Linked DNA regions of Xenopus tropicalis. The protein of the gene in region 2 interacts with the protein of the main gene of each other region in a pairwise test. Links are inferred from orthologs where the notes say so. Each region holds a gene or a part of one and is shown on either strand. Other genes may lie near its edges.

Region 1 (4,492 bases), about 33 Mb from region 2:
ATAGTTCTGTAACAGTTAAATTGCACAGGATGGCTATCTCAGGCTATGGTTTGATCCCAGGGGCACTATACATAATTCTGCCAATTAATGCCACAAAATATTGGCCATTTAAGTGCCAAAATATGGTGGGCAGCGAATTACTTTTTATTACTGCAAGCTGATAATTTAGGGCTAACTGTATGTACAGGTATACCAATTACACTACATTATGGTCAGTTCTAATGTTTCCAAGACTACTGTGTTCATTTAATAGGAAAACATATTCAAGGCAAGCAGTTGTATTCCCATGTTATATTTCTGTTTTCCCCACAACATACACAGTATACATGTAAACCCACCAACATATAGTATATTTGTTGATGAACAAACTTGGGGCAGATCTAATATTGGCTACACAAACACTGAATGCAACCCAACAAGACCAAGTACTGTAACTAGTATCCACCTGGCTTTTGGAAGGTTGCTCATCATTACCCAACAAACCAATATCATTTAAGCTATTCATTGAAATCGGGGGTGACTTTCAATCCCCATATTTTACACTAGGAGTACTTTTTAGTTTTAGGATGTCAAGCAACACAAATCACCAAAAACCAAATACAACTAATGGCATCACTAAGCCCCATTTGTAAGGATTTATTTTACAGACTATTCTTAACTAATGTAACACCCAGTCTAAAAATAACAAATCAATAATATTTCTTTTAAAAATAATGTAATTTTATTTACACATAAACAAAAATAACAACTTTTATAAAAAGTTTTGTGTGTTTTTTCTTCAATCAGAAACTGTGCAGTTCCAACTCAGTCTTCTCTACTTTAGAGAGTGGGATATTCTGGGGTCAGAGCCACAGATTAAGGCTTTCACGTTCGAACATAGCTAGATACATGAAAGGCTATTTTATACAAAAATATATATACAGCTCTTATTAACAAAGAGTAAAAACAAGGGTTAAACAGAAAGCGGAATATTTTCAGTCATGGATATTTAACTAGGACTTTAGAAATATAGAAAATGGCTAAAAATGGAATTGTTTGGAGTTATTTTTGGTCCCTAGAAGGAATGTCACCATTACAGTAAGTTACAGTTGCCTGTTACATTAAGGCATCGGCTTAGCAATAATTAAGCCTTTAAAAATTCATGGAAATAAAAGTCTTTAAGATATTTGCTAGCAAACACTGGAATCAATGTTGGAGGTCTCAGAGGAATTTCATTAAAATGATTCCCAGTGAAATTAAATGGAATTAGTAAATTATATCTCGTCCATAAAATTGTTGTGTTTTTTTCTTGTTTAAAGTGAAGGATGAAAGTTCAAAGTGATGATCAGAAATGATGAGATGCTGTAGGTCTGTCTGGGTCCCAAAGGGTTAAATAGTCTTGCAATCTGAATTCTTCTGCTTCATGGAAATGGGAGGATTTATTCCTCTCTCAGAGTTTCCCACACCTGCAGAGAAAGAAATGTGCATGTATATTAATGGCAGTAAGAGGAGGGAGGGGGAGCAGACTGCCTGGCGCCTGGGAGGAAATCAACCCTGCCTGTGGGCCTGATAACATCTTTCAACTGCTAATTGAGAGTGTGAGAGAAACCAAAGAGTCACTAGCTGAGCACCACACATAACAACAGGCTCCCTTATACCAACTACAACTCCCAGCATTCTGTCTGAAGTATAGAAATGGGTTTTAAAGCAGACGGGAGTGACAAGTAACTTTATAATTTGCAAATATGGCTTCATACTAAAAAGTCTTCTTTAGTTTTTGTTTTTATAAACAAAGTTCATAATAGCATAATTTACTTATAAATAATAAATGTCTCTGATAACTCACAGTGTATTTATGTGCCATACATACAAGTTAGATCACAGATGAAGGGACAGGGCAGTGGAACTTTAAATGCAGTGGTACTTAATACTAGTCTATCAGACAGCAGAGACTGATACTTACCAGAGAGGTTAGAAGAGGTCAGTGGCAGACACTGGCGTCCCCTTGTGTTGCCAATTCTGAGAAATCAGATTTCTGTAAATTGAAAACAAAAAGTGATTTAGAAACTTGCTACCAACCTGCTTACAGCACATATCATTCAGAGAGACAGTCACATTTAGTCTGGATGGGACACTAGAGACTTGTAGGAATATTACACCAACTATGGTTGGGATCTGCATGGAACCAACATGGGAATTGATGAACAAGGAGAACTAGGGGACAACAGGCTGGTCATACTGGCAACACTACTTTTACAGCTAAAGGGGAGAACAGGTGCATAAGGTGATATGGAGAAAAGGTACATACCTGCAAGTTAAGGATGCTGTTTTGTTGCTGATCTTCCCCCAGGACTATCTGCAGGTCAAAGATGTAGTCGATGACATGCTGCAGAATCTCAACTTGGCTGAGCTTGCTTCCTTGGGGGATCCCTGGCACCAACTCTTTTAGTTTGGAGTAGCAGCCGTTCATATCGTACAGAAGTCCCATGGGCTCATCCACACCTGGTCCCTTATGGCTGCTGCCCCTGGCAATGCTTAGACTCTGCTCAGACAAGCAACAGACAGCCTGGTAGCAGCTTGACATGGACCTCACTGGGCTGATGGCTTTCATGGTGGCGTCAGAGATGGTTGCTAAAGTTTTAAGAGGTGGATCGAGATCAAATCTCTGGATGTTTTCGATTCCTGTAGGCTTCACAAAACAGCGTTCAAGAAAATTCTTCTGGATCTTGGGGATTCGGAGTTCTGCTATCACGTTTGTAATAGAAAGCAAACCTTGAGCTTGGTTGTCGTCCTTAATCCACAGCTGCGTGTGTAAATGTCAAACCGTCTTCCCTGTGGCTCTTTTATAGTCACACTCACCCCCCCTCCTCCCCCATGCAAATGAGACCTCCCTCTGCCTCCCTCCCCCCGCCCTCCTCTGCTTCATAATATTGTCATAACAGCTGGTTGGACACTTTCAAACAGCTTCTCCTAAGGGCTGGGGACTGTGTCATTAATGCCACGGGGGAGGGGGGAGCTCCTTTACACAACTTTCTATGAGCGCCCACTCACCGTTTCAGTGGGAAATCATTATATATAGCGATACACATTGATCCGAACGTTATTCAATAAACACTTGATATAATGTTTTTCTGAATTAGCGAGAAAATGGTCTATGCCACGTAAACGCGAGGGTTAAATCCATTACCATTGTATTTTATAATATATTTGTGTGTGTACAAAATGAAACGTTATTTTATAATAAATGGAGTAAAATTAGCCAGCGATGTTTATGTTCGCGGGTAAATCATTTCTCCCCCCCCCCAGAGAAGCAGCTCCCAAATGGAACCAATGAGCCCTTTGCTCTTTATCTGTTTATCCTATGTACAGAGTGCGGAGGCTTTTCTTCTTTGCCTTCTTTGTACGGGCTGTTTTCTTAAGTGTAAAAGCCATTATTCTGTATCTTTTCTCTGCCCTCTCCCCCCTCCCCTGCTGTATGACCTCCAGACTTTCTGGCGTCAGGATTATTATCCTGTGACCAGAAAAGGAACAGGCTGGGAACTGAATGAGCAAAACAGACAGAATGGACTGGCTATAGATTTCTATTCAAGGCTTTTATAGAGAGAAAACGTTTATAGATAATTGCACATACCGACACATTTGCACACTTACATTCCCACACATATAGTTACACATATCTACACCCTAAACAAGGCACAGTCTGTATATAAACTCTTATACACATAGAAATCATTTTAGGGTTTACAGTATTGTTATTACAATAAAATGTATCTATAGTTAGGAAGTTATTCAGCACTAAATAGTAATATTGCATTTATTTATATAGCACCCCAAATGTACATAGTGCTTTACAAGGCATAAACACAAACAGGGGTACTGTTATTATAAATGAGAGTGAAAATAAATACTTAAGTGTAGGGAGTTTTAATAGAAAGTTGGAATGGAGGTCTCTGTCCCAAAGAGCTTACAATCTATTATAGTGTAATATTCAGAAGTCTTAAATTTAATGTACAATCTTGTTACTTAATGAAACTGTAGGTTCTGTGAATGCTGTTCTCAAAGCCATAAGTCAAGGGGACTACCTGTTAACATACCCCTTGCCTATGCCCATTCTCCCCAACACTGTGTTGCATTCTGCCCAAGTAAGTAGCTTGAAACAATAGCAATTAGTTAGGGCCACAACAGGTGACTCGGTTTCCAATGTGGCCCTGGCCTAAGTATAGTGCAATGAGCAACTGTAGTTAAAGTAGCCATAACTTTTTTTTTAACACAGGAACATCAAATGACTGTACCACAACATAACACTTTATTGGGATGGGAATAAAATTCTAGTTGTTTTTTTTTATTGCATTTAGGGAACTAAACAACTAAAGATGGCCATACTTATTTGTATTTATTGCTATACTTTGTATTTATCTATTACTATCTTAATAACCCCGTTTGTATTAATGTATTCTACTGTACAGCGCTGTATACATAAGTAGCACTTTATAAATAAAGATTTTCATACATT
Region 2 (3,374 bases):
CCAGCAGCCTCCAATTATGAAGGAAATATAGTAGCTGTTTTCAATTTCTAGAAATGGCTGCTCTGTACACTGAGCAGAGGCACTGCATGAACAGAAAGGGAGATGCAATTAAATGATTACGACGGGAAAGGGATAAATATATTTTTCATCCAGATGGAGCATTTGGGAGGGTAACCCATTAGTTCCTAAGGTCTTTACCGTTACATCCTGTACACTCCATTTCTATTTCTGCCAGGTTAGAATCTGCTATTCCTCTGGGTGGAAAAAGAGGGAAAGACTTTGCACATGGAATGTGCAAAATGTGCAGTTTCACATGTTTCTAATTTAACTTGACCACCAATGCCTAGGCTGTAGTATGTCTGGTACAGACCTGCTGGGTTACTGTATATGTAGTGGATTGGATTTTATTTACTTTTTTATTTGAGTAGGAAAAATCCTGGGGAACTGATTTATAACAAGGAAGCCAATTACATAGCATGTGCCTCAAAAATCAGTTCAGACATAGGTTTTAGTCTGCAGTCCTTAAGCACCTATTATAAATATCCCTTTTTATAATTAAAATTCAATGGGAAGCCTGCAGTAGCAGCCAGCTGGTGTCACAGCGCTGTGATGGGGATCTTCCTGTAAAATTCTGTTCCTCATTTGTTCTAATTTAGGAGAATAATTATGATCACACGCCATGCTATTTACAACTTAGTATCATTCTGTCTACTTTTCAGGCAATTTAGAGGTAAAACTGCATTTCCTGAAGCTATTTATACTCATAGGCTTCTGCTAATACAACATACCATATATCATGTAATTCAGTACAATGTACACATTTTGCATTAAAGACAATGCCAGACTGGAGTGCTGGGGTGCAAGTGGAATGTTCCCAGGATCAGTAATGATCTTGTGGTGTCCCACATTTCTTGTGGTCCTTCCCTTTGAATATAACAACGTCACAGATATTTTATACAGCATTGTATCAGCAGATCAGTAGTAGTTACAAGAGTATCTAGAGGCAGCAAAAAAGTGTCCACCACACAGTAAATGGATTAAGGATACCAAATCAAGCTACCCAGATCTTCAGGTTGATCCCCCTACCTACAGCATTCAGTGCAACAGGGGAACTATTACCTTAGAGAAGAGGATTTTAATTTCTCTCTTTATTGGTTTTCCTTTGACCCTTTATTTGTATTTCTGCCCATTTGCCTTGACTAATTTGCCCAGGTATTCTATTACAGATTTTTATTTATGTTTCAAAAGAGAAGAGCATCAGTGGTGGTCAGGGCTGCCATCAGAAAGTTTTGGGCCCTATACAAGTTATTTATATGGGCCCCCCATGAACACAAGTGTGCGGGACCAAAATCTTGTGTGTGTAATATAAACAGCTGATGTTACTCTGTAATAAGCAGTTCATATAGAGTTCCATTAATTAATATACTAATTAACAGTAGGTTTATTGGGGGTGAAGTTTGCCCTAAGTTCATGCCCCTGCTCTGCGCTGTCATTGGCCCCAGAAGAACAGTCCCCCTGTCCCCCCTGATTGCTACCCTGCTGGTGGTAGTGTGGGGCTGTAGCAATGGATTAAACTTGTAGCTATATAAGAATAGTTCAGACATGTGCTGGGCAATAATAACTAGTAAGTTAAGCCATGGCCCACTATTTTTTCAAATTTACTTTAAAAAATTTGGAGGGCAACCATGGAGTCTCAGCTTTGATACTTCAACTTCCATTACAAGGCAGACAAAAGTAATGTTAGCAATTGTTCTTATTGTGGGTGTAATTGCCTGCTCTTTATATAACATTGAATGGATCATTTGTAAATGTGCAAAATCTTGTATTTTTTAACCACATCTTGTTCTTTTTTTTTCATTACAAAAAGTGAATGAAAAACAAATTACTTTGTAATGATTTTGGAGCAGTATTTATATAGTACAGGTATCGGACCCCTTATCCGGAAACCCATTATCCAGAAAGTTCTGAATTACAGAAGGGCCGTCTCCCATAGACTCCATTTTAATCAAATAATTCACATTTTTAAAAATGATTTCCTTTTTCTCTGTAATAATAAAACAGAACCTTGTACTTGATTGCAACTAAGTTATAATTAATCCCCATTGGAGCCAAAATAATGCTATTGGGTTTAATTACTGTTTAAATTATTTTATTAGCAGACTTAAGGTAGGAGATCCAAATTACGGAAAGAGTTTCCCTGGACTCTAACTGTGCAACCTCTGTTACAGGAACTCGCAAGATGGAGTATAAAGGTAACAGCTGGCATGAGACCTGCTTTATTTGCTCCCGTTGCCAACAACCCATAGGGACAAAAAGCTTCATTCCAAAGGATAATCAGAATTTCTGTGTGGCATGCTATGAAAAACAATTTGCAATGCACTGCGTCCAGTGCAAGAAGGTACTGGAAATGTCATAATTATTATAGAACCAAAAAATGTATATGTATAATACACAAGAAAACACAATAGTGTTTAAAGCCTGTGAAATAAAGCCTGATTGTAAGTACAGCAAATACAAACTTCAACGCCCCCATTGTCTTTCTACTGAAATAAGTGCTTTTCCAAGAATGACAAAGCTAACGAGTGAAAAATTTACTTATACGCAAACAAGATATAATAATGATAAAATATTATTATTATTATTATTATTATTATTAAGTATTAATATCAATAAATATTATTTAACTTAGTGCAGACACTGATGGCCAGCACAAGGCCTATATTGCAGAGTTTACAGTTTTATAGTTTCAGTATTTGAATTTCAAGCAGTGTGCATGATGTACACTACAAAAAACAAGTCAATTGGCCATCCAGATCTGACTTAATGACCAGCTTTAAACTCCATTATTTCCTTTCTACCATTTTGGATATTTAGTACTTTTCTTGATGATGAATTGATTTTGCTGAAAAGACTTGAGACTGATTCTTTTAATTCTATTGTCATATAGGCCATCACTACTGGAGGTGTTACATACCGAGATCAGCCTTGGCATAAGGAATGCTTTATTTGTACAGGATGCAAGAAACCGCTATCTGGTCAACGCTTCACCTCTCGTGATGAATTTGCCTACTGTCTGAATTGCTTCTGCAACCTGTATGCCAAGAAATGTGCTGGATGCACCAACCCTATAAGTGGTACATGTGTTGGACTATAGTTTATGTTCTCTTTTAAATTACTAATAGCACTAATTACTAATTAGGGGCAGAATGATTAAAATGTGAGTTTACAGCTTAATACATATAAACTCACCAACGTTCTATTCATTCCAGTGGGATTTTTTAAAAACTTATTTATCAATGGGTGAAAATTAGAACTCACCATTTGATAAATACGCTTCTAAAAATCTCATAGGAATGAATAGAACATGGATGAGT

What was found.
Region 1: the proteins of fhl2 (region 2) and id3 interact in binary tests that used the Homo sapiens proteins (3 or more experiments, as listed by UniProt). The link is inferred for Xenopus tropicalis from reciprocal best matches to the Homo sapiens genes FHL2 and ID3.

The regions. Positions count from the first base shown.
Region 1 is NC_030678.2:78,344,196-78,348,687, forward strand, and holds id3 (DNA-binding protein inhibitor ID-3), read right to left. Parts: upstream 2,770-4,492; 5' UTR 2,591-2,769; coding exon 2,288-2,590; intron 2,015-2,287; coding exon 1,961-2,014; 3' UTR 1,943-1,960; intron 1,446-1,942; 3' UTR 703-1,445; downstream 1-702. UniProt on the Homo sapiens protein: Transcriptional regulator (lacking a basic DNA binding domain) which negatively regulates the basic helix-loop-helix (bHLH) transcription factors by forming heterodimers and inhibiting their DNA binding and transcriptional activity.
Region 2 is NC_030678.2:111,695,972-111,699,345, reverse strand, and holds part of fhl2 (four and a half LIM domains protein 2), read left to right. Parts: intron 1-2,228; coding exon 2,229-2,398; intron 2,399-2,947; coding exon 2,948-3,134; intron 3,135-3,374. UniProt on the Homo sapiens protein: May function as a molecular transmitter linking various signaling pathways to transcriptional regulation. Negatively regulates the transcriptional repressor E4F1 and may function in cell growth.